4 linked regions of the Alligator mississippiensis genome follow. The protein of the gene in region 3 purifies or fractionates together with the protein of the main gene of each other region. This does not show direct contact. Links are inferred from orthologs where the notes say so. Each region holds a gene or a part of one and is shown on either strand. Other genes may lie near its edges. The genes, in order: RPL23, DNAJA1, LRRK2 and EMD.

Region 1 (7,815 bases), about 140 Mb from region 3:
AATACCCAGCATTTCATAAACACCCAGCCTGGAAAAATCCAGACCCTTCTAGCTGTTCCATTATTCAAATGCAAAAATGCTGACTCCATCCTGCTTGCTTTAACTAAACTTCAACTCTGCGACAAAGCATTAGGTTATAGACATGCTTCTGCCAGGTATCTAGTTCAGTATCCAAGCTTGATTATAGCTCTCAGAGCTAATAGATTCAAAGCCTGATGTGGGAGGCTGGCAAAGCGCAATAGGTTAGTGTACAGGAAATTGTGTCCTAAATTCTGCTTGCCATGTTGCAACAAAGCTAGCCTTCAGCAATCTGTGTATCATGTTCCTCATCCAGAAAAGTAGAATTGCAAGAGCTATTTTATGAACATAACAATTATCATTTCCACCAACCTAGCAGGCTTGGGGGATACCAAGCCAGTCTACCTCTGAACAACCCATTGCTGCCAGCTCTACAAGCTCATGATCTGCACAATCCATCCTCCTGTCCTTGCATTCCTCTCTGGGGGACAAATGGCAGGACACCCTAGATGAGAGCAGGGATGAGGGTCCCCAGTGGACAAGTCTGTATCCCACAAGCCATTGGCTCCTCCATGGAGCTGTTGCCATGGGCACATATCTGGCACATTTTGTGGACACCCCTGACACCCTTCTGCCAACTGAGGGAGACCCTGGTACATGCCTACCTGGAGTGTGCCAGGCTGCAGCTTCTCTTTTGCCTTCTCCAGGACCTCTTGCTGAAGTTCTGGCTGTATTTCTCCCTGCATCTTTTTTGTTATGTACTTCCCGTCCACTGTGCCACCAAGTGCTGGGACTTCCTGGTCAACCTCCTCCTGGCTCTGGCCAAGCTGGCCCTCTATAAGACCAGGAAGGAGATTCGGGCCAGGGCAACCCAGGTGAGTGTGCGGCTGTCTTCCTGTCATTCCTCCACTTATGTCTCTGGATAGAGTTTCACTGGTCGTGTCCACAGGCTTCCTGCTTCCTCCATTCAGGGGGCGGTGGGTGCTGGCCAGCGTGCTCTGCTTGGATCCCTTCTGAATCTCTTGTAATTAACCTGTGATTGTCTCATTCCTGTTTTCTTTTTAGTTGTCCCAAGTAATCAATTGATGTGTCTCCAGTAGACTGTCTTATAAGGGAATCTTACAGTTGTCCATGATGGGCCAAAGCCCATGACCCCATAACATATCAAATAAGCCTGTGTTACAGAGAGGCAGAGAGTGGATGCTGAAAGGGAGAGGGAACTGGGGATGACCACTGTTCCCATGCACTTGCAGCAGCATTTAAAGTAGGGGTGGGCAAAATATGGCCTGTAGGCCAGATTTGGCCTGCCAATGGATTTTATATAGCCTGCAGCAGGTCTCTCAGCCCTGCCTGGCCCAGACAGGGGTGCAGCCCAGCCTGTGGTGCAAGCACTGAGCAGCCAGTCCTGCTGTCCCTGGGGCGTGCAGTGGGGCTGGGATGGTGTGGCTGCCAGACTCAGCTTCCCAGCAGTCCTGGCAGTGACAGGTCTGCTACCAGTGTCACCGCTGCTGCCCAGGCACCCTGGCCTACCCATCCAGCTCTTGGACTCTGCTCCCCACCCACCCATGTCCCTATCTCATCCAGCTGGCAGGGGTCCCAGGCTGGTCTCCATGGAGACCCCACCTGCCTGCTCCATCCAGCACCCCCAGCAGTGGGTGTGGGCCAGATGGACTGGGGCCAGTTAGGATCCATTCCCACCCCTACGCTCCCCCCCATCCCAGGCCGAGCCAGCACTCCCCCACACCTGCCCTGCAATAGCTCCCCAAAACTCCTTAAGTGGCCCTCCAACCCAAATAATTAATCACCCCTGTTCTAAAGGACTCTTCAGGCTGGAAAAGTGCAGGCTCAGGGTGATCTTGTGGCCACCTATAAGTTTATCAGGGGTATTCACCAGGATCTGGGGGGATGACTATTCACCAGAGCGCCCCAAGGGATGACAAGATTGAATGGTCATAAACTGCTCCACAACTGTTTCAGGCTGGATATAAGGAAGAACTTTTTTACTGTCTGAGCCCCCAAGGTTTGGAATAAACTGCTGCCAGAGGTGGTTCAAGCACCCACTTTGAACGCCTTCAAGACACACTTGGATGTTTATCTTGCTGGGATCCTATGATCCCTGCTGACTTCCTGTCCCTGGGGAAGGGGGCTGGACTCGATGATCCTCCGGGGTCCCTTCCAGCCCAAATGTCTATGAAATCTGTGAAATAAAGGATGCTGCAGTGCAATTTGAAACCGCGAGACATTGATGAGGCTGAAGTTGGTTCCTAGTTACTAGTTCCTGGTTTGTTTTTCAAAGGTAATCTGTACACAATTTACAGTTTTTTCCACATAGGGAAAAAGAATCAATACCCAAAACAACTAATATTTCCTAAAGAGCTGAACAATCCATGTAGCTAGTGAACAAGTATAAGATTTAGCACAGACTTATTGCCACAAGGGGGTATAGCTCAGTGGTAGAGCATTTGACTGCAGATCAAGAGGTCCCCGGTTCAAATCCGGGTGCCCCCTCGTTTTTATTCTTCTAGAAATAATGTTTGCTAAATGAATAGGAAGGATTTTTATAAATACCCAGCATTTATGACAAACCCAGGCAGTTGTAGTCATCCCTTTATTCAAACTCAAAAATGCTGACTCCATCCTGTTTGCTTTAGCTAAATTTTAAAAGCCTGCAATAAAGCTTTGTGGTTATAGACCTGCTTCTGCCAGGTGCTGTAGTTAGTTCAGGATTGACTGCTTCATTACAGCTCAGAGAGGTTACAGGTTCAAAAGCTGGTGTGCCAGCCAGCTCACCAACACTCTTAAGTGGTCCTCCAGCCCAAATAATTGCCCACCCCTACTTTAAAGTCTAGGAGCTGCTCTTTATAGATGAGGCTGAAATTGGTTCCTAGCTCCTTTTTTTAAATAAGGAGCCAACTTCAGCCTCATTATTAACTGAGGGTGCATCTACACCAAACTTACTTAGAAGTAGACTAATTAGCTCCAGAGTAAACAGTCTCAGTGTCTACAGATGTAGGGCTATTAGGCTAGCATAAACTAATAAACTCCACAGCAGGGCCTTGTAAATACAAGTACTATCCTGCTGCAGAGTTTTTTTACTATGCAGGAGCACTCATGTAGATGCTGACCAGCTGGCTGGGGCACAAGGGTGCTTGAGTAGGGGGGTGCCTGCTGGCCAGCCCCACACTGGAGCACCATTGTGCCCCAGCCAGCCCCCCTGCAGTACATTGAGCCAGGCCAGAACACCCCAAGCTGGCAGGCCCCCTGACAGTCAGGGATGCTCCAACCTTGCTCAGTGTACTCCCGTCCTGGGCACATATGTAGATGTAATAAACTCTAGCGTGATAAGTGCCAGAGTTTATTGCAGCATATTAATATAATATAATATCATATAATATTAACATGCCCAGAGTGTTTTAATTCAATCTGATTGGAAGGAGAAAGGGTTGGAAGAAGGGAGGTCATGTTTAAAACTATATCTATTTCTGAATTCTAACCACCACCAGAAAGGCATTCAGAAAGGCCTTATTTGGGGTCAGATTTTGCACAGCTCCTGCAATACAGAAATCTCTGCAAGTCTTGAAACATCCTCTCTTTTTTTCTGGATAATTGATGTTTCCACTCTGCAGAAACCTAACAGAGTTTTTATTGAACCTCGTCCTCTTTTTTCATGCTCCTGCACTTCTGGCATTTTTCCTGTGATCATTTTCCATCTCCCACAAGATTACCTGTTTTCTTTCAGAACTTTTAAAAGCATGCCTCAGTCGCATGCAATTGCCTCCTTACACACTGCAAGAAGACTACGCCTTTCCTCATGATTTCCTCAGCATCAAGTTAAAACCTTAAAGCAAATAGGGTGACTGCGGTTGTTTGGAAAGGAAAGCCAGGTATCACACAGGCAGCGTTGCATGATTGCAGTTTAATGGGTGGGAGGGATCCTCTTTCTAAATTGATTCCTCTGCATTGTATCCAGGGGTTATTTTATAAGGCATAAAACTGAGCAAAGGGTGTGTACACATGTACTTTCTGACAGTTAAGCTGAGGTTTTTTTTAAAGTCACATGTACATGGCTCAGAGTTGACTTAAATGCGGGGCAAGATGATACACCTCTGAGGTGTATTACCTTGGGGCACCTATACATGTTCATCGAGGCTGCTCCAATACACTGCAACTGCAGTGCATCAGCGCAGACTCGATCAATCAAGTCTGCTGGAGCGTGGTAATTACCACATTCCAGCAGACTTCAGCATCACATGTATCAGCATCCCTGCGCTGAAAAATGGCAGCTGGGGCACTTTAATTAAAGCTCATTCAACAAGCTTTAATTAAAACGCCCCTGCTGCTATTTTCCAGCATGGGGATGCTGACACATGTGGGGCTTGAGGCACATTAGAGCTGTAATTAAAGCACCCCCCACTTCCAAAACAGGAGTATATATCAACCTAGCTCACAAAATGGATGTCACCGAGTCAAGATGTGCATGTTATGCTCTGACCTGGTTTAAGTTGACTTAGTTAAGTCACCTTATTTTAAGCCAGTTTAGCATGTGTGCACGCCCAAAGGTAGTAGCCCAGGTACAATGGTTAAAACTCCAGGGCTAGAAACTGTACTAAAATACACGCCCCACTCAACCCCGCTAGCCCACAAATGCTGCAGAGCTGAGGTCGGGCTGGGTCCACGCAGAACCCGGCCGCGAGCCTGGGCTGTAGTGCCCCCGGCTGCCCTACAGGGGGCGCGAGCTGCCCTTCGGAGGTAGAGCCATTCCCTCGTCACCTGACAAGGGAGCTCGCCCCTCCCCTCTCCGACCTCACGCAACGTCCGCGTCATGAATGAATATCCCGTCGTCCTTTGCGCCGCCTTCTCTCTTTCTCCGGAACCAACATGTCTAAGCGAGGTGAGGCCTGGCGCGGCCGGCCCCGGCCGGGGTGAGCGGCGGTGCAATCCGTCGCCATCCTCCGGCCGCGCGGGCGGGGCGGCCTCGCCACCCGCGGGGATGGGGCGGGGGGAGCCCGGGCTCCCTGCGGGGCTGTGTCTGGTGCGGGCAGGGAGCGGGGGGACGCCCTACGGGGCACGGGACTGGGCGGGGGGTCCCGTGTGCAGGGGAGGGGTCGGCAGGCAGGCACTTAAGACTGTGAAGCCCCTGGGTTTTGGCTGCGTGTCCGGCAGGGAGGAATTAGTGAGCAGTGGTGTTGGGGGTGGGGGGCTGTGAAGACTGCAGGGGGTGTCCTCGAATTGAGGCCCTAGGCTTGAAAGGGGGAGTCATGGAGCCCATGTGGATGTGTCCTCCGGGTTGAGCATTGTCCAAGTCAAGCTGTCCTGGGCCTGGAGTGGAAATGCTTGTTCTGCACCGAGATGCTGAGAAGGGCAGAGGAGAAACGCTGCTGCTTTGTAAGTAAGAGTGGTGATAGGGTCTTAGAGGTGGACCCATGAAAGTTAGAAGCCTGCTTCAGTTTTAGTTGTGTGCATAGTGCCCAGACACATTAAAATGGCATCGTTCTCGGTGGAGGAATCTAATCAAGATTAATACCGGTATTTATTGCTGTTCTCTTTAAATAATAGTTGTATTTTGTTTAGCTCTTACAGCTCTTAATTTGAGCAACAGCAATTGTATCTTTAGGTTAATATTATTATGATCTGACTTATTAATAATCTTTTGACTTCTGTTTGGGTGTGCGAGAGTCTTTGAAGCAAAAGAAAATAACTGCTATAAAAGTTCTAGGTCTGTGGAGCAAATGTCACGTTACAGACTTTTGAGAAATATCTACTGAGATGAGAATTTGGCTTGTGACTAATGCATAAAGTGAGTGTGAGTGACAGTGTGAGTATTCTGGTCCCCGGTCATGTTTTGTCCTCTGTTTTTAACCTGCAGGACGTGGTGGTTCGTCTGGTGCGAAGTTCCGCATCTCCCTGGGTCTCCCTGTGGGAGCTGTGATTAACTGTGCAGATAATACAGGTGAGGCAGTTCATCCAGCACTTCTCTCCCCATTGGGCATCATTTCTTTTTGTTAAGATCAGTTTCTGACCACTGGTTTCTTAATCAGAAGTCAGAAATATTTCTGGAAACAAGGTGCAAGTCTTAAGGTGATTAGCCCTTGGAAGATCTTATAGTGGATTCTCCACATAGTCTTTAAAGTAAGCTTGGATTGATTTCTAAAAGATGTTCGAGCTCAAAAATGAAACTACAGGTGTGATTTTTTTTCTCATCTAATTATCCAAAAAATCTGATTTGATGATTAGAATGGGTCCATCTGCCCTTGAATACTGTGAACCCCTTAACCTGCTTCAGCCAATATTCAATTTGCTGCTCATTAACAAGGCCAAGAATTTCTATCCTGTCTCTGAAGCAGTTGCATCTCCCTTCTTAAAGCACTTGCTGGGTCTTTGTTCAGTGGCTCAGGGAGTTGTCGTGGAAGGGAATAGAAAGACACCGCTTTTGGGTGAAGTGGCAGCCTGTGCTGTTAACTTCAATCAGTGGTGTGACAAAAGTCTCCAGGCTTTTCTGTAGTGGGTTGGCTAATGCAAAGGGTTTCTTTTTATTTCCTCTGTAGGTGCCAAGAACCTCTACATTATCTCTGTGAAAGGGATTAAGGGACGTCTGAACAGACTGCCAGCTGCTGGTGTAGGCGACATGGTTATGGCTACAGTCAAGAAGGGCAAGCCTGAGCTCAGGAAGAAGGGTGAGTCTTGTCAGGGAACAGGTTGTGAGTTTGTCTGGTGTATACAAGGGCATTCTAATAGAATTGGTAGTGAGTTGATAGTGTGGGTAGTTCTAGGCATAGGTTGTCTGCACAGAGTGGAAAATCCTGCCTCTGAGCCGTAGGATATCCCAGAAAGCATTGTTCCACATTGCTCTGCCTGTCTGCTCCAACCATGGAAGGGTACTTTATTGTCCAGGTGCCTAGAAGGTACCAGTGAGAACACTTTTTAGGTAAGGTCGACAATATGGTATGGACACAACTTTGTTGTGTTACACCAGCAAAAATGAATGCTCAGTGATTATAAAATACAGTTTTGCATGTTGTAAAATTGTAACTGCAGAGATCATAACACTACAGCTGGTGCCCGAAACACAACCAGGATTCATGTCAGCGCTTCATCTCATCAGGCCTCCTGACATTGATCCTCTTGGTGCGTTGTAGACTGACCTTCATGTATAGGATAGAAAGCCAGTTCTTACAGGAGGAGCAGAGCATACTCTTTAAGAGAGATGGGAACTAGGCGCCCAACAGCATCTCCCCCTTCTGAAAAGCACTTGCTGGGTCTGTGCTCAGTGGCTCGGAGTTGTCGTGGAAGGGTATAGCAAAGGCATCGCTCTTGGGTGAAGTGGCAGCAGCATGTGCTGTTAACTTCAATCAGTGGTGCGACAGTCTTGATGGTTCCCATTTCAGATGTCCTTGGTAAATAGTAGCATGCTAGGTTTTCTTGTTGAATACTATGCTGAGACCTTGCATTTGGTAATGGAGCTGATTTTGCCTTAGAGGCTCTCTAGACTGCTGGGTTAAAATATGAGGATAGTAAAGTGCTCATGTAGATTCAAAGGTAACGTTGCTTTGAGCTAGTTTGTTTTGAAAAATACATTTTAAGCTGCATGCTTCCCTCTGCGTTGCACAGAGAAAGAAAGCCTGCTCCTCTGATGTGTACTTAGCTGCTCTAAAACTAAATAGCAAGGGCTTGTAATCAGTGTATCTGTATAAAACTGTTCGGGATGAAAACCTGCTTTAAATGCATGTTGTAGTACCAGCAAAGGATATTGCATTGAGAGCCTAGAGGAGTCTAGGCTGTTCTGGATTCAAGGCTGCC
Region 2 (7,324 bases), on a different chromosome or scaffold from region 3:
CTGGTGAATTCTTATTTGCATGCCTGTACCTCTGCAGTTGGGACAGCATTCCACTGCACCTTTCTTACCACCTCGACCTGATAACAAGACAGCAGAATGAAAGGATTTGACAACTGAAATGAACTCCAAATAAAACATATCAAAAGTACACTTATTTAGTTTATTGAAAACAACTGTTTTCACCTGAACATAATTTTTTGTAAAGATAAACAAAAAATGAGTTAGTGGAATTCAGTTAACAAGTTCCCTGGAGTTCTAGACTGTAGTACAGAAAACTTACCTTCACATTTGTCACAAATCACATTCTTTTGCAGAGCCAGTTTTCTTGTTGCCCCATTGTACAAGTCCTCTAAACTTACTGACAACTGATGAACAACATTTTTACCTGTAAAAAACACACTCATTATTCCAGACTTTGTAATTCCATGCTAATCAGATTTTGTTCTCTTATTTCTCAACTGAAATCAACTAAGACCCAATTCTTCAGAACATAGCACATTTACTAAAGGAAAATACTTTAACACAAGCCAACTGCCCATCAGGAATGACAGGGTATAGGGACAAAGCAGGCAGGGTGGGGGATAGGAGGGGAGGGAGGGAGCTTGCTCCACCATCCCATGCTGCCTCCAGGGAGCAAGGCTCCATCTCTGCCATCATGGCAGCACTCTGCCATCATGGCAGCACTCTGCCATGCACTGCCTCCTGTCTGGAACACTCTTGGAGCACTCTGATTGGTTGTTTCCCTCAGTATTGTGATTGGTTGTCTCAGCAGCCAGTCAAGAGTGCAGATACAGCATTACAGACAGACTAAGGCTTTTATTATATTAGAATACATAAAAAAGCAAGCAAGCATAGGACTCATAACATAGCACTATTAAAGTACTAACAATAAAAGATAATGGTCCTATGCTAACATTTCCCCCCACCATTCAACATGGTGGAGAAAAAGCAGCAACTTCTTACTTCATGTAACATGAAATTTGGAGTCTATGGCTGTACTGTTTTTTGTACTAGTCACACCTTGGTGCATGTGCGCGCGCGCACACACACACACACACACACACACACACACACACCCCCCCACCCACCCCCCGTAAGGAAGAATTATATAAAGATGTGTTCTAGTTAAATAACATTAATCTGTTAAATCACTTAAAAAAGCTTAGGCTAAATTAAGAACTAGACAATTTAGTGCATTATAAATACGATGAAATAACCACCTCAAACTATAACTTCCAAACCTCTAAATACTGGAAGCTCTAAGGGAAGAGGGAAGGGAGACAGATCAGTCCAAGAGGCCCTACATAAGTTTTTTCTTGCTACTCTGCTACAAAACAAGGATACCATCCTAGGTCAGTGGTACTCTATATTCTAGTCCTGCCAGCTGGATCCGATGCATGGAATCAGTCCCTAGGCTAGATCCAAAGGAGGGTCAGGCTGCAGTTATGCCAGCCCAGCCCCACACACTAGATCTAGTGCATGGGGGCATGTCACCCGACCTGCAGGGCACTCCACAGGTTTAAGACTAGAAGTTGGAAGTATGGCAGCTGTGGCTGTATTAAAGTGCTGTAACTTAATCCAGAGCAGCAGCAATTAATGTTTCCCCTACCTCCCCACAAGATTTTCAGGCCTCCAGGGAGCCCCATGCAAGACATGCCCCACCACCCAAGCTGGAGGTTGAGCACCACTGCCTTAGACGGACCTGTTCCGACCCAGAAGAGTATTTATGTTCTTTAGAAAAGTTTGGCACATACAGTTAGCTTAATCTTCAAACCTCAAGTTTTAGACAATGACACCACTGATGTCTTGTGACACCTACCTATTACTATTCATACAAAGTTAGTATTATAACTCATTATACACTAAACATTCAGAAAATAAGCTTTAGATTACTGTGATAGTTTTCTTGTTTTCAAGCACCAGCATAGGAAAATTGGCACCATTTAGTTATTAAAAAGTGTAGCCACTCCATCTTTGTCTTTTCTTGAACTCTAACAGAAGCAAGTATGATCTCTCTCAACTGTATTCAGGGAGGGTCCGGTATATGCTCGACTGCCAGTGTACCCAACATGACAAAAAGGTTGCATACCTCGCCTCTCTCTTTGCATTCTTCCACCTCCTCCAAAGAACATGTCAAATATATCCATGGGGGACCCAAAGCTACAGCCAGAACCACCCTCTTTAATGGCCTGCTCGCCTCCTTTGTCATATAAGTCTCTTTTCTTGGGATCAGAAAGAACTTCATATGCTTGAGAAATCTGTTTGAACTGCAACAGAAGCCAGCACATTAACTAAATCCACAAGGAGATGTGACAAAACCAGACATTTCCCCCCCCCCAATCCCTTTAACACCAACAATTATTAGCTTTAAAACAGCAGCCCATTTGGAGCTGGTGAACAAACTTCAACCGAGCCAGCCTTTACAGGGGAACTTTCCCCACCCCCCGTTCCCGCTGTGCTCAGGCACAGCCACAACCAGAAACCCAAGCTGGGAAGAGGCCTGGTGCTTCTGCTGCATTCCTGGATCAGGGACCCGAGCAAAAGCACCCACAGGGAAGCCCTGCAGGCACCTCTCATAAAGAGAAAGTGGGAAGAGAAGAGAGACGAGGCGAGGCGAGGCGAGGCGAGGCGAGGCTCCCACCTCTCCCCTCCCCCCCACGTCGCTACCTTCTCGCCCTCGTTGGGGTTTTTGTCGGGGTGGTACTTCAACGCCAGCTTGCGGTAGGCCTTCTTCAGCTCCTCCTGGGACGCGCTGGGCTTCACGCCGAGCACATCGTAGTACGTCGTTTCTTTCACCATCGTGAACGGCGACCTGCGCGAGCCGCCTCCGTCAGCCGCGCAGCACCTCCCGCGCCGCGCCGCGCCTGTCCCAGCAACCCCGGGGTCAAAGGGCCGACAGCGCCGCGTGGGCCCCAAGGCTGCGCCCCCCAACCCCCACCCCGGGGCGGCAGCAGCAGCGCCCTACCTGGCTGACTGGCGGCGCTGGCTCCGGCGGCTCCCGCGGCCTCCCGACTTTTCTGGAAAGTTCCAAACAAGGCTCGGCATCCGGAGCCTTTTGTAGCCGGGGAGGCCCCGCCCCGGAAGCTTCGTCCCCTCGTTGCCGGGTAGCCGGGGGCGGGAGGGGGCGGAGCGCGGGAGCGGGAGCCAATGGCAGCCTCTGACCTCGCTTCACCCCGCCGACTCGGGCCGCCCGGCTACAGCCCCCAGCGTGCGCTGCGGCCGCTTGGCGGACTACGACTCCCAGCGGGCGCCGTGGCCGAGTGGGGTGGTGGGGGTGTGGTGCATGCTGGGAGTTTTGCCGCCCCGCGCCGCGGGTTGTGTGATGTATTTCCTGGTTTAACCTTGTTTCCAAACGAAGCACCTGAAACACGGGCGGGGCGATGCAGAAATGAGGCAAAATGCCAGAGTTGCAAGTTTCAAGGCGCCACCGCTCTCGGGCTGGCGGTAGAAGCGCTCCATGCAAGGAAACTTGGGATGCCGCCCTGCACAGCCGTGCATTAGCAGAGCCGTGACTTTATGCGGGACCGGTAACGAGGTACGTTTTGTACCTCGTTAGGGGAGAAAAACCCCGCAGATACACCTGCTGGGCGGTGGCTAACATAGCTCCCCGGGGAGCCTTTGTGTGCACCAAGTATTCCTGAGGAAAGAAAGGCCGGATTTCCGGGGCTCAGTTAATTCAATCACAGACTTCCTTTTATATCGTTGCACAACCTGCCCGCTCGGTTTGAAAGATGGCAAATGAGCCCCCCCCAGCACTGAGCGGAGGAATAGTTCAAGGTGAAACTAGTTCCATTGGAAAACACGGTGGGGGTTCACCACTGTAGGCAAACACCATAAGAACAGAAATGCGAAACCGATTGCGATTGCCCTAAGGTGAGTGACATGCATACAAGTAAAGATAAAACATTGTAGATTATGACATTTTATTTTAGCTGGATGCCGTTATGGCTTTGTAATCTGAAGTAGTTTGATATTCCCAGCATTTACTTTCTTCCTAAAAGAAGGGCCATCCAGAAGATAATATATATGTAAATAAACAGCCTTCCAGAATTGAGGGCTGGGAGAGGCCCAAAGCCTAGCTATTACAAAGTAGGACCCCAAAACAGAGATGCTTAATACCCAATTCAGCAGCAGATTGTGTGCCCTTATGTGGAGACAGCTGAAATAAAGCAGGCTCAGTAGCTAGTAAAAATGGTTGAGCACCTTGCAAGAGCACATCTGGTACAAGTATATATGCTGAATGCATATTGGACTGCTTTTTAGCCCTCCCTGCTGTCTTTGGGTCGACAGGACTGAAATAGGTGATTTCTCACTTCTGTTCAGTAAGCTTTGTGAAGCGAATCAGTGGTCTCTTGTCATTTCTAGAGCATAGATATTCTGCTTGTAGAAATCTGGATGTGGAAGGGCAGGCGCCATATTTCCTCTGCTTTTGCACAATGCTGAGCATAAGTAAATGCTCAAACGATAATTGCTGTGACTGTCAGCAAGAATGCCTGAGAGGCTGAAGGTAGAAGTTCGCACACATTCCTATAGCACCATTTCCTGCTTTCATCTTGCCTTCAGTATCAGAAACTGAATTTTAGAAAGCCCGTCCCTGTTGGATCGTGCAGCTTGATTATCTCTTTCATTCTCTGCTGCCCCCCCTGCCTTTTTTTTTTTTTACTCAACACACATTTCAGAGTGCTTGAGGGATGTCCCATTATCCTGCTGTGTATCTGAATCATCTTCTATTTTCCTCTTCTCACTGAGATCTCTACAGCTTGCTCCACCCTGGGAAAATCCATTCCTATGCTTGCTTCACCTGTCGCAACCCAGTAATACTTGTCATTTTCCTCCAGCTCTTTCCTACTGCTCCATTTTCCCACTGTTCCTGCTGTCTTCCTCTACCAGCCCTTGGCAGGACTTCTTGTCCTTCAGGCGAGGATGCTGGCAAGAGCATGAAGGGAGACTAGGGAAAGGGAGGGCAGATTGTGGGACAGTTGAGAGAGCAATAGAAAAAATGCGCTCCTTGTCACGAGCCTTATTTAAGGGGTCTGTATGCTGTGTTCTGGTGGGAGGACTTTATGTAATAAAATGGCCATGAGTGTCTAGGGGCATGTGTAGATGAAACAGGGATTAATGTTGAGCGCACCTGAAAATTTTAACCCGGCTTTGTTTTGGTGCGGTGCGTTTGTGTTTGCACGACATGGCGCTTTTGAGTGACTTAAGTCTCCTGTGTCATTGCCTGCAGATTCAGTAGGGGGAGGTCAAATACCAATATACCCCCACCCCCAATGTCTTTCCTAATGTATTACAGCAGGAGGCACATGTAAGCCTGCTTCCCCTGTCCCCGCCCCTGGCCTCTCACTGGGAGTCTCCCCCGGGCACAGTCACCCCAAAAACCTTGTTACTTGCATCCACCTATGCTCGGTCGGTCGGTCTAGTCTCTCTCCGTCAGTATGCGACCCCAAAGACCCCCATCACAATCCCCATTCCAAAAATAAGCCTTGTGAATCCTCCCATCCTGTTCCTTTCCCTTCCCATCCCACCATGTTACAAATACATGTGCTTTTTCTTTTATTTACTTTATAGCTGCTATAATACCACCAAATGTTCAGGGTTCAGAGTAGTGGGTGGGTGGGTGTTTGTTGCTGCCTAATTGACTGGCAATTGCTGTCGATGATGCTGGTGGTGGCAGTGAGCAGGCGAGCTCTTCTGTGGTTTATTGTTGTTGTTGTTCTGGTGTTTTTGGACTACATTTCCCAGCATCCCGAGCTCACTGATCTTCATGCAGTTTTCAGTGGGGGCTCCCATTGAAACCTTCCAGTTCCCTGCCCAGTACCACCGTCAGTCTGTTTGTGTAGTGTCACATGGCTTTTGGGGGTGTGTTATGAAATGTTTTATAAATGTTTTTGAAAATGTGGGTTGCTGTTCAGCTTCGTCCCCCACCCACCTAGCCCACCAAAAGCTATAGTTAACCTTCTTGCCCACATGGTGGGGGGGGCTTTTTCAGATGTAGGTGATAGTGTGTAATGCCCCCCCCACAAACCACTTACAGGCTGGAAGCAGCAAACCCCTAGCCCAGTCCACATTTCCTACCCCTTCCCCTGACCGTCCTCCCCTCTAACCCCCCCGTCCGCAACACCGCACGCCCTTGTCTACAGACACAGATTTAAAGTGCAAATCAATTTATTTTAACATAACCAAGAGAAAGAACAAAGCGCTCTTAGGTGTTGTTGTCAGTAATATATCCCGCCAGACAATCATGCACAAGGGACACCCAACCAGCCTCTCCTTGAGGATTTCTCCTCAGTCCCTGTGCTGCTGCAGCCTGGACACGTCTCTGTTGTCTGGCCACTGCCTGTTGCGCTGCTTCTTCCCGCGACTCCTTGAAAATCTCCATGGCTCTCAGATACTGTGTAGCATGCAGACTGCCACTACAAAGGCCATGATATTTTCTGGCTCCATCTTGAGCTGGCACATAAGCGCCCTCCGTCGTCCTTTCAGTCAGCCAAACGCACATTGCACGGCCATCCTGCAACTGCTCAGGTGGTAGTTAAAAAATCAGCTTCTGCATGTTGGTGACATTCCCTCCATAAGGCTTCATGAGCCAGGGCTTTAGGGAGTAGGCAGCATCTGCTAATACAACCGGGGAACAGCAACACCACGGATCACTGTCTCCTCCACGCCAGGTGCGTAGTGTCCTTTCTCCACGAGGCCAGGCAGAGGGGAGTTTCTGAACACACATACATCATGCGTGCTGCCAGCCCACCCAGTATAAATGTTTGAGAGCCAGCCCTGGTGGTCCACCACAGCTTGCAGGATCATGGAGGCATATCCTTTCCTGTTTATGAAAGCCCTCCCCCTCCCCACAGGGCACAGCACTGGGATGTGAAATGCCCCCATGCAGTTAGGGAATCCCTTGTCATTGAACCCATCTGTGAATTGCTGCGGGTTCACCAGGTGGATAATTTTGTTTGAAGCGATCTCCTTTAGCAGCTGGCATACCTCACAAGTTGCCAACCTGACCATGCAAGCAGCCACGCCAAGCTGGTTCGCAACGTAGCGGAGGCTGGATGGGCTGGCCAGTTTCATGATTGCCCTAGCAACCCTCTTGTCTGGTGGGGCCCCAGCACTGAAACAATACGATAGAACGTCTCCCTGTCATTCAGAACATCTCCAGCCACTGCTGGTCATTCCAAGTCGTCAGTACAATTCACTCCCATCAGTCCAAGCTGCTCTCACAGGCCCACACTGTGCAGATTCTGGTCCTCCTCAGGTTTCTCAACAGAGCTGTCATCTTCCACTTCTTCACTTTCCTCTGGGTATTTCAAGTCCTCTGGGT
Region 3 (7,982 bases):
ATCGTGTCCTATGCCTCGCAGATGACACCTGAGTTGTGCTATGTATGGTCCGGCTTGAGACTGGGCCCAACTCGGCACACTGTTAGAGCTCATACTGCCCTGTTCTGGGCCTTACACATACCACTTCCCTCTCACTGAGGCCTCTACCACTCTGCCCGCTCTCACTGGGCCTCTTGCACCCTTGCTCCTCACTGAGCCACATGCACCCTGCCCTGCTCCCTGAAGTGGCTCCCGTAGGCCATTAGGCTTGTTTCTACACTCCTTGGCCAGCCAGCGTGCAGCCTTTTGGGCCTCTCTCATGACCCACACCTGAACAGTGGCCAGGCAATTCAACAAACACTGTGCTGACTTTACCCCTAGCCCATCACTTGGTAACTCAACCCACAGGTTCCACAATTGGAGCCAATTACTCACCCCTACTACTCATGGCTCCCTCCGAGTCAGCTCACTTGGCGCCAGGCTCACTTGCGGCCTCACACGCCCAAAAGCTTACCTGGGCCTCACCACTCACCCCCATCTCCCTGGGGCCTCATCACCCCCCACAGGCTCAGGTACCACCCCCATGGGCATGCCTGGCACTACTCCTCTTACTGGGCTCAGATGCCTCCAGTTGGGCATGCCTGACCCCACTACTCTCCACAGTCTTCCACCCCTACGGGCTCAGGTGCCACTCCCATCGGTATGCCTGGCTCTGCTCCCCTCTGATCTTAATAACCCACTAAAATAGGGGGGGCTGGGGTTTTAAGGCGCCCCTCCTCGCCTTTCACCAGAAAGGTAACTGGACTGGCATTCCTGGGGGACTCCCCAGCGGAGTGCAGTTTTCAGTCATACCTGTCGGGAATCAGAGCAGCCGGCCAGCAGCTGCCTTCTGACCCCCCCCACCGAAGCAGTAAAACTTTTACCTGACAGGCGGGTAGTGATGGATGGGGTGAAATTAACCAGGCACAGATGCGTGTTGGTTATAGGAGATTGTTTACTTACGTCGCCCAGATAGTGACGTGCGATGCAGGCTTAGCCTTTGTTCTGCTACAGTTGCATCGATTACAGTCAAACGTACGGGTTACAGCCAAGCAATGATGGACGTGGCGCCGAAAACGTGCTATCGTGCCTGCAGGGCTTTGATACGTCAAGATTTACGATGACGGGGAGTATTGACAGCTGATCAGACCATCAATCTACTCTGGTGATGGACTCAGGTCTCTCCTCAGAGGTTTCTCCGGGGTTCTCCATCTGGGCGGAAGTTGCTAAACTATTTATAGACAGAGGTGTCTGACGGAGATACCCAATGATGAACCGTTATGTGAAATCTTTAATTTTCTGGCAAGCAGCAGTTCTTTGTGCTCTCAGGTTGCTATCAGGTTACAAGGTAGTGGGTTAGGTTTTCTTCCTGTTACATATGAGGTTATGATGAGGGACTTACGCTTGTTTCTTGACCAATTGCAGGGATTTATGGCAGGGCTATACCCTTTCACCATGACCAGTTTCGTTTCTTGTTTGTGACATGGGCATAAATTATATACAGCTCTCTGCCAGGATTTTGTTTCAGGAGCAAGGATTTCTTTTTTAACCCTTAGTTGGCTACTTGAATGGTATCTCTTGCTAGTGGCATGGGCACTGATTAACTGGGTTGTGACAATACCCAGGACCAGGAGCCTCCTGCCATCCCCAATAGCTCCTGACCTTAACTCCAAGATGCTCCATGAGCAGCAGCATACCTGGGTGTTGTTGCTCCCTTGGCTGCTGGCAGAAAACTGCTGCTCTCAGCCCTGAGAGCCAGGATCTTAAAATGGCCGCCTCACCAGGGCTGGCCTACACTTGTCTGCTGCCTGCTCTCCTCAGACACCAAAGGTGCTCTGCCACCTATGTTCCCCCTTAAAATGGTTCCGGGGATGGGGGCTTTCCCTGCTGCTCACAAAGTAGGCTCACTCAGAGCCTGCAACAGCCCTTAAGTGGTGAGCATCCTGTTGGTGCTCCCCCCCACAAGTATATTACTGTGACACTGAGCATCACACAATAAATAATAAATATTAGCATAATCTCATAAAACATCACATGACAATAAATTGAAGGTCAACTACGTGATAGAGTGAAGCAGTGAAGTTGAGGTATCTATGTTTGTTGCTTGAGGGTAGTCAGGAGCCTCTGACTGAAGTGGATCTATTTTTATTCAACTGACTTTGTCATTACAGGTGCTTGCACTAGTCCAAATGAAAAGGCACTCAACTAGTTTCTAAAAATGAATCGCTGTTCCATGCTTAAATTACCCCAGGTCAATGTTTTGTCTTCTAGAACTTTGAAGGGAGATAAGATCATTCATCATGGCCAAATGTAGTCATAGTCTATGGTCTATAATTAAGAAATAGTACAAAAGTTTCTTTGAATGAGACTTAAGGTTGAGACAGTACCAGCACTACAACAAAAGCTGACAGCCCTGAGATTGGCTAGCTACTAAGTATTTGCAATAACCAGAGATCCAAATGCAGTTCAGAATGCTTGTCACTCAAAATAACCAACCTTTTTAATAAAGGAGACTTCCCTGAACTGATTGCCCAAGAGCCAAGCATTAAGAAAAAAATCAAGTTAGCTTCAAAACAGCCAAATATTTCCAGCTTTTGTTGTTATTGTTCAAAATGGCTAAAACATTAAAAACCAGAGATAAGCTTGGTGAAGTTATTCATTTCCTCCCTCTTTATTTAGCACAGTTCTGTGGGAACTAGTGTTCATTTGATGACAACTTACGAATTTAACTTCTAGCAATTTAGTGACAGCTGCCGGCAATTTAACTTTTCACCTTGCAAGAGCAGCGAAAAGTGCCAAAAATAAGGCAGTTAGAGGTTAAAAAAAGTTAGACAGTATATATAATGTTTAGCTTTTCTACTATTAGTTTTGCTCCATGTTTCCTTAAAATAGTTTGCTAATCATGGCAAAAATATTCCCATTTCTTATTCTTGCAAGCCATGCTTTAGGAATGATTTGATGTTTATTGGCAGCTGTTATAACTACTATGAAAACATGTCAGGTTGTGTGTTTGAAATTTATTAAATCAATGTGATTAAAATATTGTAATTTTAATTTTCTTAAAGGTGTTTACATAGGCACAAAGAAAGTGCACTGATTTATAACCAGATACCTACATTAAGGCTAGAAAATTTGCTTTGATTGCTTTTTGAGTTGGCCTACCATAAAAGGTTATCAATATTTTCTTTACTGAATTGACCATTTGTTTTGTGAAATTGAGTTTCTATAACTAGATATAATCAAGTGGAAGCGATTTTTCTTCTATGCAAAAGCTCTACAACCCCAGTCTGGGAAACCAGATCACAGACTTAGCTCTCCAAAAGACATGTCAGCAAGATGAAGGAGCACATCACTCTCCATCTCTTCCAAACACCCTTACTTAGTAAGCTTGGCTCTATTCACCCTTTTTACCACCTCAGTGATAAACCCCATGAGGCCCTCCAAGTCATGTTAGTTGGAGAATATCACCACGTGGTCCCCAACAGCCACACTGGGAGGTAAACAGGTCACAGCCCAGCTTGCTCCACCTTCAAAGGGGGTTGTCAGGTTGGCTGCATAGATCTCAGGTTTGCTTTCTTACCCAGCCCCCACTTAAGAACTGCTGTACTAGCTTAGGCTAAGGATCAACTTCGGTATCCCATACTTTGACAGTGGCAAATAATGGTTGCTTTCGAGAAACTAAAAGAAACAGGAAATTTGTAGAGTTCTATCCAGTATCATACCATTTTGGTGAGCAGCAGGTTAATGCTGTTTTGACTTTGAATGTTATAGACAATAGTCCCCTATAAACCTGTCCTCCATAAAGTACCACCTAACCCACTCAATATTACTGGCTTGAACATCCCAGGACAATGAATTTCACAAAAGTATTTTTGTTTTAGGCGACTCCTAGCATTGGATGTGGGTTAAGAAATAAAGCTGTGTAGAAGGATATTTTCACTGGTCAGGGACAAAGAGCAGAAGTGGTTGGGGAGGATCACTTTCAATTCTTCCCCCCACTTTAGGGAAGAGGGAAGGGGTTGTACTCTCATTATTTTATTCCGTCCCTGTAGTTCTCCCCCTTCTGTTATAAGCCACCCTAAGACTGTATGAAAAGGTGTTACACGTACACAAGGCTTGCTAGATTCAAGACCTAGTTCCACCAATTCTTTTTTTCATTCCATGGATTTTTCTAGATGGCGGTTTTCCCAAGCTGAAACCTTTCAGCCTTTTCAGCTTCTCCTTATTTGGAGGCCATTCTGCAGGCCTGACTGATCTTTCGTGCCCCTGCTCTTTTCCTTCGGCACTTTTCCTTCGCTACTTCCAGCATAGGAAAGTTCAGTGCGGACTTTCTAGGGACACAACAGTGTCTCTGCTTCATTCCCTTTCCTAGCAGCACTTCATATCCTGTTCGTCTGGTCAGCTGGACACTCACAGCAGCAGCCCTGACCTTGGAGACCCACCGATGACCCCCAATCCCCCTCTGGGGACGGGAACCCGCAATTCAGCCCCATCCCTGCGCGCAGCCGGGGCTGTGGGGTTGCTCAACGCAGTTTCATCTGCTCTTTCGTGGGCTTGTAACTCTTTCTGGAACCCTCTGCCTGGGTCTGCCGCAGCTGCGACTCGCTCCTCCCCTCCTCATGGCGAAGGCCCAGGCCCCCTCCCTACTCGACAGGCTGCGGGGCCCCGCACCGCCTCACGCCAGGGCTGGGAGGGCGACACAGCGCCCCGCACGCTCCCCCTCGCTCAGTGCTCTGAGAAGCGGACGGGAAGACGGGCGGGTGAGGAGACCCCACCCCCACGACGCCGACCCCCTCTGCCCAGCTCATAATAACAGCCGCTCGCCGCGGCGCCCTCCCTTATAAGGACGGGGGTGGGCCCGCAGTACCAGCGCCGCCACCCGATTGGACAGCACGGCTGTCAGTGGCACCGCCTCCGGGGGAGGAGCCGCGGCAGCGCCGCCTACAGGCGTCCTGGGGCAGCGCCGGCCCCGCCCGGGCGGGACAGATGCGGGGCGGCGCGGGGCCATGGCCGAGCCGCGGGACGAGGCGGCCCTCGCCAAGCTGCTCGTGAGGCTGCGGCACGTGCGGGACGGGCAGCGCCTGGACACGCTCGTGCAGACGCTGCGCGACCTGCTGGCGCTGGCGGCGCTGCCCGACGGTGAGACCGCCCCCCCGCCCTCTCCTCCCGTCCCCTGTCCCCCCCAGCCGGGCCGCGGCTGTAACGCGTCTCCTCTCCCCGCGCAGCCCCCGCGCTCTTCCGCGGCCGCGCCGCCCACGTGCCGCTGCTGGTGGTGCTGGACTCCTACGTAAGCGCCGCCGAGCTGCAGCAGGTAGGTGACCCCGGCCCGCGGGGGCGCGGCTCGGCTTCCCCTGGCGCGCAGCTCAGCGCTGCGTGGCCCGGGCTGGGAGCGGGGGGGACCGCGGGGAAACGCCGATGGGCTTTTGCGGCGTAACTCGGAAAGCGAGCTGGGTCTGAGCAGGGCGTCCCATCCCGTCCCGTCCCCCGCTCCCGTTCCCCTCTCATATGCAGCCTTCACATTTAAGGTCTAGGACAGCGGCTCCCAAAGCCTGACAGATGGCACCCCACTAGTTTAAAACGATACGGCCTTTACCAGTACCACCAGCAACTTTTTGTCCTATCGAGTCATTATAATACGTCTGTTAACATGTACTGCTGACAGGTGGTCTAGTACCTGTACCGCAGATTGGGAACCACTGGTGTAGGCAGTTCTGATTCGGACATCCCCACCTTCAATAGCTACCCACCCTCTTCCTCCAAAAGTTTGTCCCGGCCCTTTTTGCATCTAGGTAAATGGGCAACTGTCGGTGGCAGTGAGCGCCACACTTCAATGACTCGCTGCAGAAAAAAGAACTTCCCTTTTTTAGTTTTAAACTGACTACTTGGTAGTTCTGTTTTATGACCCCTAGTTCTTGTATTGTGAGAGTGAATGATAAATCCCTGTCTACTTTCTTTTTGCTGTTCAATATTTTGTAAACCCTTATCGTGTCCGCCCCCCCCCCCCCCCGCCTCTCTTTTCTAAATTGAATAGGCCTGAATAGCTTTCAGTTTTTCCAAACTGAATAGGCTAGTGCTGGTGGGAGCAGTCAGTCTTCTCAGCAGTCAAATAATTTGATGCTTTACCTTTAGCGGATGGTTACAGATGATACAATGTTTGGACGGGTGCTTTGCATTTAGAAAGGAAGTGGCATCATTAGAACCTTCTTGGTGTCTTTTAAAATGTCAGGTTGTTGACTTAAATTGTAAATAGCTGATCTAAGTAATGGGGAAAGAACAAGTGAGAATTTGCAATGTTAAAAAATTTTGATTAAAGCAGCAGTTGGGAACCTATACCCTGGGAGCTGGATCCAGCCCACAGAGCCGTTGGATCCAGCCCATGGAGCTGGATGGGGCTTTGGAAACAAGGGGCTTCTCCTGAGCCACCGATGGGCAGCAGGGAGAAGTGCTGGCAGTAGCCAGGTATTAATTCCAGCTTGCCTTGGACCCAAGATGGATCACTCCAGCCTGCTGCCCAAAACCTTTGCCAACCACTGGATTAAAGCATGAATTTGTGTCTTTGCTTCATTCTATGACGTGTAGTTATTACAATAATAATAATTCCAACTGCTGCTTTAGTTTGAGAACCTCTAAGCATTTTGCAAATAGGAAACATTTAAGAAATTAAGTAATTAAGAAATTAAGTAATTAAGAAAGATATGGGGATTCATCTTCAATCCATGTTAAGAGTTGAACAGTGATTTAATAATACTTAGCCAGGTTGCACGAAAATTTAGAACAGGAAGGGAAAAATATCACATCCTACTGAAACCACAGAGGGAGTTTTCAGAACAAAATGGGGAAGAAAGTAGTTACTTGAGAATTTGGCCAGGTAAATAAATCCATTATTCTTATCTCCGTACTTAATGTAACCTTTAGTTTCAACTTCAGTTTTGAGTATCTTAGCTTTTATGAGTCCACATTAGATTTTTAGGGAGCCTCCAAACAAGTGTTCACATGTGTTTCGCCAGGGCCAAATAGTGGTGCATAGGAGTGCTATTAGTATGTGTCCCTGGGGAACACCTGTGCATGCGTGCTGTGGCACATGGCAAGTTGCCCCATGTCGGGAAGGGGAGGCTGGGATCAGCACACCTACCCTGTCCTCAGCAGCCTTACCTAGGTCCAGGGGTCCCGGGGCTCCAGCAGTGGTGATCCGAGCACACGGAGCCTGACTAGAAACTGAAGAATGGCTCCGGTAAGCTAGGCTCTGGTTTTGGGTGGCACATGCTGCCACCATGTGTGCCACCCCACTCTTTTTTTTGGCATGGGTTTTTAAATTAGCAGTGCAGCGAATATCTGCACGTGCAGTGCATTTGGTTTGTGGCACCACTGACGGGTCTGTGGTGCTGCAAATCCCGTGTGCACTCGTCTGGATGCACTCTTAGGGTGCCTTAGTTTTATTTTAAGTGGTGAATCCTCAGCCAGTGTGGAACTCATATCTTTAAAATGCTGTAATTTCACTTTCCCCACTTACTATTTTCATAATATTTTAGAAGTATAATGCACTGATGTATTCGGTGCTCTTTGCTATGTCTGATATGAGTCAAGCCCAATAACTGCGACATTTGAGGCTGAGTTTACTGCTGCAGTGGTACACTGTAGTCCTGGATTTTGAAGCAGTCTGCCTACATTACTTTCCAGTTGTCTGGACAAGTAAATGGATCAGTAGCTCTTCTGGTTTTGTGGCACTGAAATGAATGACCTGCATTTTTACCTTTGAGTAAGGGCTGCATTTGAGGTGATGAATATATTTCCTCCTGGTTCAGCTGGTCACAAAATAACTTGCTGTGTTGTTGTCCATCAAGTGTGCAAAGTAGAAGTCTCCTTGTCTCCTCCTTTCAGATTAATAATGTGGGCACCAATACAAGTTGGACTGTGCAAGAAGTCCTCTTCTTCCACTCTGTAAGAAGTGGAAAACTTTTAGATTT
Region 4 (7,690 bases), on a different chromosome or scaffold from region 3:
CCCCGTTTGTCTGTGCGCATCTCGGACATACACAGGTGGGGCGGTGTTTGTCACCTGGGCTCCGGTCCGGCCATCCCCAGCATGAGAAGGACGGTGGAAAGGGGTGCGTGTAAAAGAGAGACCTCACTTCTGGGGGGGGACGGGGGGCGGAAGGGAGCGCGAGTGTGTGTGTGCGTGCGCCCCTCCCCCACACACATTTGGGGGGACCTCCTCAGGCACAACCATTACTTCTACCCCGCCTCCCAGTCCAGAAAACCCAGGCGCCGGGACTCCCACCCAGCCCCACAAGAAATGAGGTGACAATGAAACTAAAAAACCCACATTTTTATTGGGATTTTTTTTGCCCCCAGAATAATGGATCCCGCCCCACATGGCACAAAATAACCTCCGATTCATGGAAAGACAGCTGTTGCTAGGCAACCCCCAAACAACTTCTCCACTGGGGGGGGATAGGAGTTGCCTTACCCCACCTGCAAGGGTGGGAACCGGGATGACTGAGTTCTCTGGGCTGGAGTGGGGCAGGGCTGGGGGTAACCTGGGGGTGGCTGTTAGGGCCTGAGGGTGGGAGGGGCTGGGAGTGAGTGGAGGGGCAGGATTGGCACTGGGGGGGGGGTGGCTGGGGGAAATTGAGGGATCCAGGGTGCAGGTCTGTGTATGGGGGCAGTCCCTGGACTACCAGGGGAGCAGGCTGGTTGGGCAGGATTCTGGTAGTTGGGGTGTCCCATTGGAAGTGGGGATGGGGGGGTCTCTGCAGTGTGGGGCTATCCCTGAGTGCACCTTGAGGGGGGGTTAGGAGGGAATGGGGGGCCTTAAATACAGGGGAGTGGTCCCCAGGGTGCCCGGAGGAGGTCTCAGGGTGTAAGGAGGTCCCATGGGAGGTCCATGGGAAGTTTTGGAGGGTTCCCCAGGATCTGTGTAGGAGAAAGTCCTTGGGTATTGGGGGGCTCCAGCTGTGGGGGGAGGGATCCTCAGTATGTCCTAGGGAGGGGTTCCTGGGTGCATGTGTGGGCCTGGACAACCCCTGAGAGGTTTTGGTGGGGCCAGTTATGGAGGCCCTGGTGTTAGAGGCTGGGGCCTGGGTGTGGGCAGTCTCTAGGTCTGTGCAACAGTGCCTGGGGGCCCCTGGATGCGGGCGGCTGGGCTGGCTGTGGGGAAGGGGGGTTCCTAGGAATCTCTGGTTGGGGAGCAGGGTGGACCGCGGCCCCTCAGCCCTGTAGGCTGCGGGGAAAGGGGTTGTCGCTGGCGCCGCCCTGGAGAGCGAAGTAGACGAAAGTGAGGAAAGCGGCCACGGCCCCGAACACCAGCAGCTGCAGCCACAGAGGCAGGAAGCGCCGGGGGGCGCCGGGAGTCGCTACGCCTGTGCCCGCGCCCGGCCCGCCCCTGGACCCGGGTCGGATGGAGGGGCGCGGCGCCACGCGCTGGTAGGCAGTGCTGTCCCTGAAGGGGAAAAGCGATGAGTGGGGGACCGCCCCCGCCCCGCCCCGCCCCGCCTCCCAGACCTACGCTCACCTCTCAATAGCATCCCCCCAGGGGCTGCTGGCGCCGGGCTCCTCCTTGCCCTGCGGGGAGATCCCACGGCCAGTCAACAGCGCTGCCGGCCCCGCCCCACGCCTCCCTCTACAGGCCACTCCGGGAAGAACCCTTCATTTTCATAGCCACGCCCCGGAGGGAGGGGCGCGCGGGTTCTATTTGCATCTCCGCAGATCGCTTGCATATTTGCCACGCGGGGGCTGCCGGGGGCGCTAGGGTCAATGCTGGAAATGAGGCCCCGGCGTCCCCGGAAGGGGCGGGTCGGGGCATCTTGGGCAGCCCCTGGAGTTCCTGCATTGGAAGTGGCGGCGGGTCTCTCCTCAGTGGAGGCGGCGACCCGGGACGGGAAGTGATGTATAGAGACCGGGTGTGGTTCCGTGTTCGGCGCCGCTCCCCAAGCAAGCAGCGGGGTGTACCTCCCGCATCAGGGGGGGGTCCCTGAATCGCGTGCGCCCGGCATGCGGGAGCCCGCATGCTCGTGCTCTGGGCGTGCCTGGACACCTAGGTTCTCTGGGTGTGTCCCTGGCCCGGCCCCGCCCCACCGCCCCCAGTCCCGCAGGCCCCGCCCTATGTGTCCCTCACTCACAGGCCGTAGCGGGTCGCTGTAAAGCCGGGCAGGGGGCTCCTCTGTGTAGGAGCCCTGGTAGGTATCCAGATCTGGCGAGACACACAAGGGGGCTGAGACCTGGGGCGACCGCAGCTCCTCCACCAATGGGGAACCCGAGGCCCAGCTCCCCAGCTCACCTTCGCGCCTATAGCCACGATTGGGGAGTACGGAGTGGTCTGGTGTCATGTAGGATTCCCGGATGTAGAGCCTGGAGGGACTCGGGTCTAAGGGTGTGTGGGAGGAGTTAGTCTGACCCCCAGCCCCCAAAAACCCCAACGGTGCCGCTCACTCCAGCCCTGCAGTCCCCTGCCAGAGCCCCACAGGCCCCGCTCACCCTCTGCCGGGTATCGGGCCCGAGCCCCGTCCTCGGGGTACTTGTAGAACTCTCTCATGAAGCTCTCAGTAGTGAGGGGCTCTGCAGGGGGGAGAGGGGAACAAGGGCGAATCAATCCAGGCCGGGGCTCCCCGTCTCCCCCCTCACCCGTCACTCACCTGGCGGCTCCCCCGGGCCCCCCTGCGTCGTGCGCTGCCGTTCCAACTCGTAAACCTTCTTCTCGTAGAGCTTCCGTGTGGAGCCTGGGCGAGGGGGTGGGAGGGTCAGAACCCCCATAGCCCGACCCCTCACTCCCGACCCGCAACCCCCTTCGCCCCACATCGGGACCCCAGTGGCTCCGCACCCTCATACCCACGACTGGCCCGTGCGAGATCTGGTAGCTCTTGAGTTTGGCAATGAGCTCGTTGTCCGTCAGGCCCTGGTACTGCTCCATGCTGCCCGGAAGAGGGGTGGGGGAGCTTGAACGCAGGCGTCGGGGTCTCCGGGAGCTCCGCGGGCTGGGAAGAGAGGCTACGGGGCGGGAGCAGGGGGCGCGGCGGAGCTGGCAGGGGTCTCGATCTCAGGCCGGGCCAAGCTGGAACCGCAACGACTAGGAAGTGACGGGAAGCGGGGCGGCCCCACCCCCAAACTACGTTACCCAGAGTCCCCCACGGCAGCCCGAGCGCCGCCGCAGGGAGGTGAAGCTGGGTGGGCCCGGACACCTGGGTTCTCTCCCAGCCGGGGAGCTCAGAGACGGAAGCGTGCGCAGAGCGGTGTCGGGGGCACCGCCGGACTCTAGGGCGATGTCGGGACACCCGGGCTCTCTGCGGGGTCGAGGAGCTCTGGCGTTGCGCTCCCCGCAACCGGCCGCCCCCCCGCCCGACTCACCCCGGCCCGCTTCCTCCACGCCCCACCCCCGCGCCCGCCCGCGCCCCACAGAGCAGGCGGCTCCTCGGATCCTTTCTCCCCTCTTCTTTATTCGACAGTTTTTATTCCTTTCCTCGCTCCCCTTTTCCCCTGTCTTTTTTGGTCGATACATGTCAAGGGGGCCAGGGGTCAGCCGGGGGGGGGGGGAACTTAATAATTACGTCATGATCTCCCCTACCTCATGCCCCCTGCGGGGGTGATACTGGGGTGGGGGGTTATTGGGAGGGAGGGGCCACAAACCCAAAGTCACAGTCACGGCACAAAACAGACACGGAGAAATAGAGAGCTAGGGGGTGCGGGGCGCCAGGGTTCCATCATCCCTCCCCTGCGTGCCCCACGTGTGGGCGTCTCCCCCCCGCCCCCACACTCCCGAAGGCCTGGGGGGGTACAGAAGGTTGGGGGGCCTGGGGGCAGTTGTGAGGGTCCCGATCCAGCCCCAGGCCCCCCAGGGCTGCGGGGGGGGGGGGGGGGGCAGCGGCACATCTCGACGCCCCCTGCTGGGGCTGGAGACCTGGGGAGAGAAACATGGTGATGGCAATGGTAGCCCCGCCTTTTTACCCTGTCCCATCCCCCTTCCTCCTCCAACCTGCCCTGGCCACACCTCCTTTTCCCCTGACCCCACCCCAGCCCAGCCCCTCTGTGCACTTGCCCCTAGTTACATCTGCTCTCACAGGCCCTGCCCCTGCTGAACCCACCCCATGGCCACACCCTCTCCCCCAGGCCCTGGCCACAGTGGGAGTCACTCACCAGCTACATCTGGTTGGCGAAGGCTGTTGGGGCAGCGGGGGCACCATAGGCATCAGGAGCACCGTAGTCTGGCTGGTAGCCGCCACCCGGAGCACCGTAGGGGTCAGGAACACCATAGGGGTCAGGGGCACCATAGGCCTCAGGCGCTGCCTGCTTCTCAGGGGGACCAGGTGGGGCACGGGCGAACGGTGCTCCCCAGCCTGTCTCTTTGAACACGAACCACACATTGCCTGTCCACAGCACAAGATTCAGGAAGCCAAACACCTGCCAAGGGTCAGAGGGCAGTGCTGGGAGTCAAAGGGCAGCACCAGGGACACCTTATGGGCCACTGAGCATCACAGGAGGAAGCACAGGAGTCAAAGGGCAACATGGCAGGTCATCAGGGCACCATGAAGGTCAAATGGCACCACCGGGGTCATCTGGGGTACCACCAGGGGTCAATGGGTACCACTGGCAGTACCCCAAGGGCCATTGGGCTCAAAGCAGACTATGGGGGGGTGTCATTGGGGCACTGCTGGGGTACCCCAAAAGTTAGGCATCACTGGGGTCACTGTGAGGGTCAGAGCACCACTAGGGTTGTCAGGGGCACTGACAGTCAGAAGGTACTGCTGGGGGTATGCCAAGGGGCACCTTAGGTGACAGAGGTCACCACAGGACTCAAAAGTCAATACTGGGGTAATCAGGGTCACTGCAGGGGGCAAAGAGCATCATCAGGGGTACTAGCACCGGGATTTTCAGGTTCCAACAGGGGGCAAAGTGGACCCCAGGGATAGAGGGTCACTGCAGAGACCACCTCAGGGATCACAGGGCATCACAACAGTTAGGGTTGCAGGGCCCCAGGAGATCAAGGGACACCTGAGGGGTCATGGCAGGGGTCACAGGGTATTGCAGGGCTTACAAGATCATTGCAGGGGTCCCAATCCTATGGAAGGTCCTACTTCTGGGGGCTCCCAAGGGGTGTCTGTTCCTAGGGGGCCTAATTTGGAGGGGGAAGAGGACCAATCCTGAGAGGACCTGATTCTGTGGCTTTGCTCAGGGTCCCCATCCTGGTGGACATCTCAGAGAAGACCCAATCTTGAGAGTCCTGATTCTGGGGGTTCTCTTACCACAGAGGTGTTGAGGCCAGAGGTTACAGGTGCCTGCAGGAGGTGGCAGACAACTTCCTTACGCTGGCAGGTCTTGGCCCCCTCCAGTACTTGGCTCCACTCTGTCGCTGCCTTCACATCGGCCAGGCCCTTGGCCCAGGCACATGAGCTCACCAGCCACAGGAAGGCAAAGGTGCCCGTCACCACCAGGTCCTGGCCGGGTCAGGGGGAGGGTCAGGGATGCCCATGGCTTCCCCTCCAACCCTCCATACCCCCCCTCCCCCGCAGATTCCCCAGTATCCTTCAGGGCACACCCAGCCCCTTATAAAACCTGACAGGCCACCAGAATTACCTTCAGCACACTCCCCCCCTCACCCAGAATCCTCTAGGGCCCTCCAGCCCCTGCATAAGACCCCAGCCACGCCAAAGGCACTCCAGTCCTCCCAGAATCCCCCAAAGCCCCCATAATCCTCCACAGTCCTCCCAGCCCCCACTGAAACCCACAGGCTCTGGAGCCCCCTCCAGCCCCTGCCCCCACCCCAATCATTCCAATCCCCAAAACTCCCCAACTATTCCAGGCATCCCTCACTCTCCCATGACCCCTCCCATGGCCCCCCCATAACAACACCCAGGCCCTGCCCTACCTATTGACCCTCCTCGAGGCCCCATCCACCATGCTGAGGCCCCACCCTTTCCTCTATGACCCCCTTCTCTGTTGCCCAGGCCCCAGGCTTCACCCCTTACCCCCATTGCCCTCCCAAAATGCCCCACCCTCAATGTTCCTGACTCCCTCCCTTCCAGCCACAGCCCCACCCCTCTCTAGCTGCACCCCCAATGCCTCTGGCCCCTCCAGGGTTCCACTGCCCCACCCCCTCCATCTCTGACTCCACCCCTTTCTCCTGGCTCCATCCCCTCCTGCAGCCTTACTTCCAATGTCCCCGGCTCTGTCCCTTTCCCCATGGCCCCACCCCTCTCCTGCCCCCCAAGCCTTGTCACTCACAATAACCGGGCCCTTGTTGCCCTGGCGATACTTGTCCTGCAGGAAGAGGTAGACGAGAGTGGCACCCAGGGCATAGAGGAAGGCAAAGACAGCAACGGTGACGAAGAATTCAGCAGAGGATGAGTAGTCGCCCACCAGGAAAACCTTCTCTGGCTCCCCCCCCTGGCAATTCGGTACCCGAAAGTACACCTGGTGAAGCCTGCAGGGAGTGTATAGCAACTGTATGGACTGGGAGAGGGCCATATATGGCCCCTATGGACCAGGGTAGGCCCTATAGTGCCCATATGCCCCATTTGGCACCTGGAAGGAGCAGTACAGCATCCATACAGACTGGGGGGACAAGACCTAAAGTGCCCATATAGACAAGGAGCAGGCCATATACTACCCGTATGGATGAGGGAAAGGCCCTATAATGCCTGTATGGACCAGCTGGGCACAGAGACACCTGTTGCAGTTTGCTGGAGGTGGAGTCTAGGGCTAGTATCTGTATGAACCAAAGGACACCCCCCTCCCTCATTCCATTTAATGCCCCCGCTGGTCCTTATAGAATATACTGCCATCCTCTGGGCCTTATACCCCATGCACTCCTTCCCCCACACCTCCACCATGGCCATATACAGTATAACAGCTTTCTCCTAGCCTTATACTCTATGTAATGTCCCTACTTGGATCTTATACAGTATTGTAACCTCCCCCTGGGCCTTATAACCCATATAATGCCCTCTCCTAATCCTTACATCACACATGGGGCCTTGTACAATCTAACAGTTTTCCCTGGGCCTTATACACTATATAATGCTCCCTCCCATCCTGGTATCCCATGTAATACCCCCAACCAGGCTTCATACTCCATGCACTGTCTCCTGCCAGTCTTTATACAGTATAATCCCTTCCTCCAGACCTTGTACTCCATGCACTTCCCCTGCCAGGGCTTTATATAGTACAGTGGTCTCCCCTGGGCCTTACACCCTATGCATTGCCCCCACCTGGTCCTTATACCCAAGTAGTGCCCCCACATGGGCTTCATCCAGTATAACACCATCCCCCAGCCTTATATCCCATGTAACATCTCTAGCTGGTCCTTATATTCCATGCCATGCTGCTGGTGGGCCCTGGACAGTTCCACCCTGCCCAGCATGGAGCTGACCTGAAGGGGTAGGCGATGGGGACATCAAGGTTGCTGTGACTGCGGTTTTCGGTACATTCCACGCTCACCCGCAGCTGCCCCGAGTAGCTTCCGCACGTGCCAAAGGCGAAGATGGCGAAGAGCTGGGGGGTGGACAGGGTGAGGGACAGCAGGCAGGGAACCTAGGTGTCTGGTTCCCTACCCCCACCTCGCAGCCCCATTCCTCTCCCAGGGAACCCAGGCATCTGGGCTCCCAGTCTTCACTGCTCTTACCTCCCCCACCCCTCACCCCACTCACCTGCCAGAGATCCCAGCCATTTGGGTGCCTAGCCCCCTCTCCCTTCCCAGGGAGCCC

The links.
Region 1: the proteins of LRRK2 (region 3) and RPL23 purify together in Homo sapiens (affinity purification with mass spectrometry; 3 studies listed by BioGRID and IntAct, with this or other methods). This does not show direct contact. The link is inferred for Alligator mississippiensis from reciprocal best matches to the Homo sapiens genes LRRK2 and RPL23.
Region 2: the proteins of LRRK2 (region 3) and DNAJA1 purify together in Homo sapiens (co-immunoprecipitation; 4 studies listed by BioGRID and IntAct, with this or other methods). This does not show direct contact. The link is inferred for Alligator mississippiensis from reciprocal best matches to the Homo sapiens genes LRRK2 and DNAJA1.
Region 4: the proteins of LRRK2 (region 3) and EMD purify together in Homo sapiens (co-immunoprecipitation; 3 studies listed by IntAct). This does not show direct contact. The link is inferred for Alligator mississippiensis from reciprocal best matches to the Homo sapiens genes LRRK2 and EMD.

The regions. Positions count from the first base shown.
Region 1 is NC_081827.1:166,214,744-166,222,558, forward strand, and holds the start of RPL23 (large ribosomal subunit protein uL14), read left to right. Parts: upstream 1-4,805; 5' UTR 4,806-4,896; coding exon 4,897-4,909; intron 4,910-5,884; coding exon 5,885-5,968; intron 5,969-6,369; exon of another isoform or gene 6,370-6,500; intron 6,501-6,563; coding exon 6,564-6,692; intron 6,693-7,250; exon of another isoform or gene 7,251-7,384; intron 7,385-7,815.
Region 2 is NC_081826.1:152,767,876-152,775,199, forward strand, and holds the start of DNAJA1 (dnaJ homolog subfamily A member 1), read right to left. Parts: upstream 3,011-7,324; 5' UTR 2,966-3,010; intron 2,813-2,965; 5' UTR 2,800-2,812; coding exon 2,668-2,799; intron 2,268-2,667; coding exon 2,090-2,267; intron 386-2,089; coding exon 281-385; intron 78-280; coding exon 1-77.
Region 3 is NC_081827.1:28,643,991-28,651,972, reverse strand, and holds the start of LRRK2 (leucine-rich repeat serine/threonine-protein kinase 2), read left to right. Parts: upstream 1-4,973; 5' UTR 4,974-5,024; coding exon 5,025-5,157; intron 5,158-5,243; coding exon 5,244-5,329; intron 5,330-7,982. UniProt on the Homo sapiens protein: Serine/threonine-protein kinase which phosphorylates a broad range of proteins involved in multiple processes such as neuronal plasticity, innate immunity, autophagy, and vesicle trafficking.
Region 4 is NC_081831.1:28,896,673-28,904,362, reverse strand, and holds EMD (emerin), read right to left. Parts: upstream 3,004-7,690; 5' UTR 2,905-3,003; coding exon 2,823-2,904; intron 2,714-2,822; coding exon 2,630-2,713; intron 2,553-2,629; coding exon 2,472-2,552; intron 2,362-2,471; coding exon 2,275-2,361; intron 2,188-2,274; coding exon 2,117-2,187; intron 1,560-2,116; coding exon 1,510-1,559; intron 1,438-1,509; coding exon 1,206-1,437; coding exon of another isoform or gene 1,165-1,205; 3' UTR 310-1,164; downstream 1-309. Other genes in the region: SYP (synaptophysin), read right to left, coding at 4,128-4,388, 5,231-5,422, 6,210-6,408, 7,357-7,478. UniProt on the Homo sapiens protein: Stabilizes and promotes the formation of a nuclear actin cortical network. Stimulates actin polymerization in vitro by binding and stabilizing the pointed end of growing filaments. Inhibits beta-catenin activity by preventing its accumulation in the nucleus.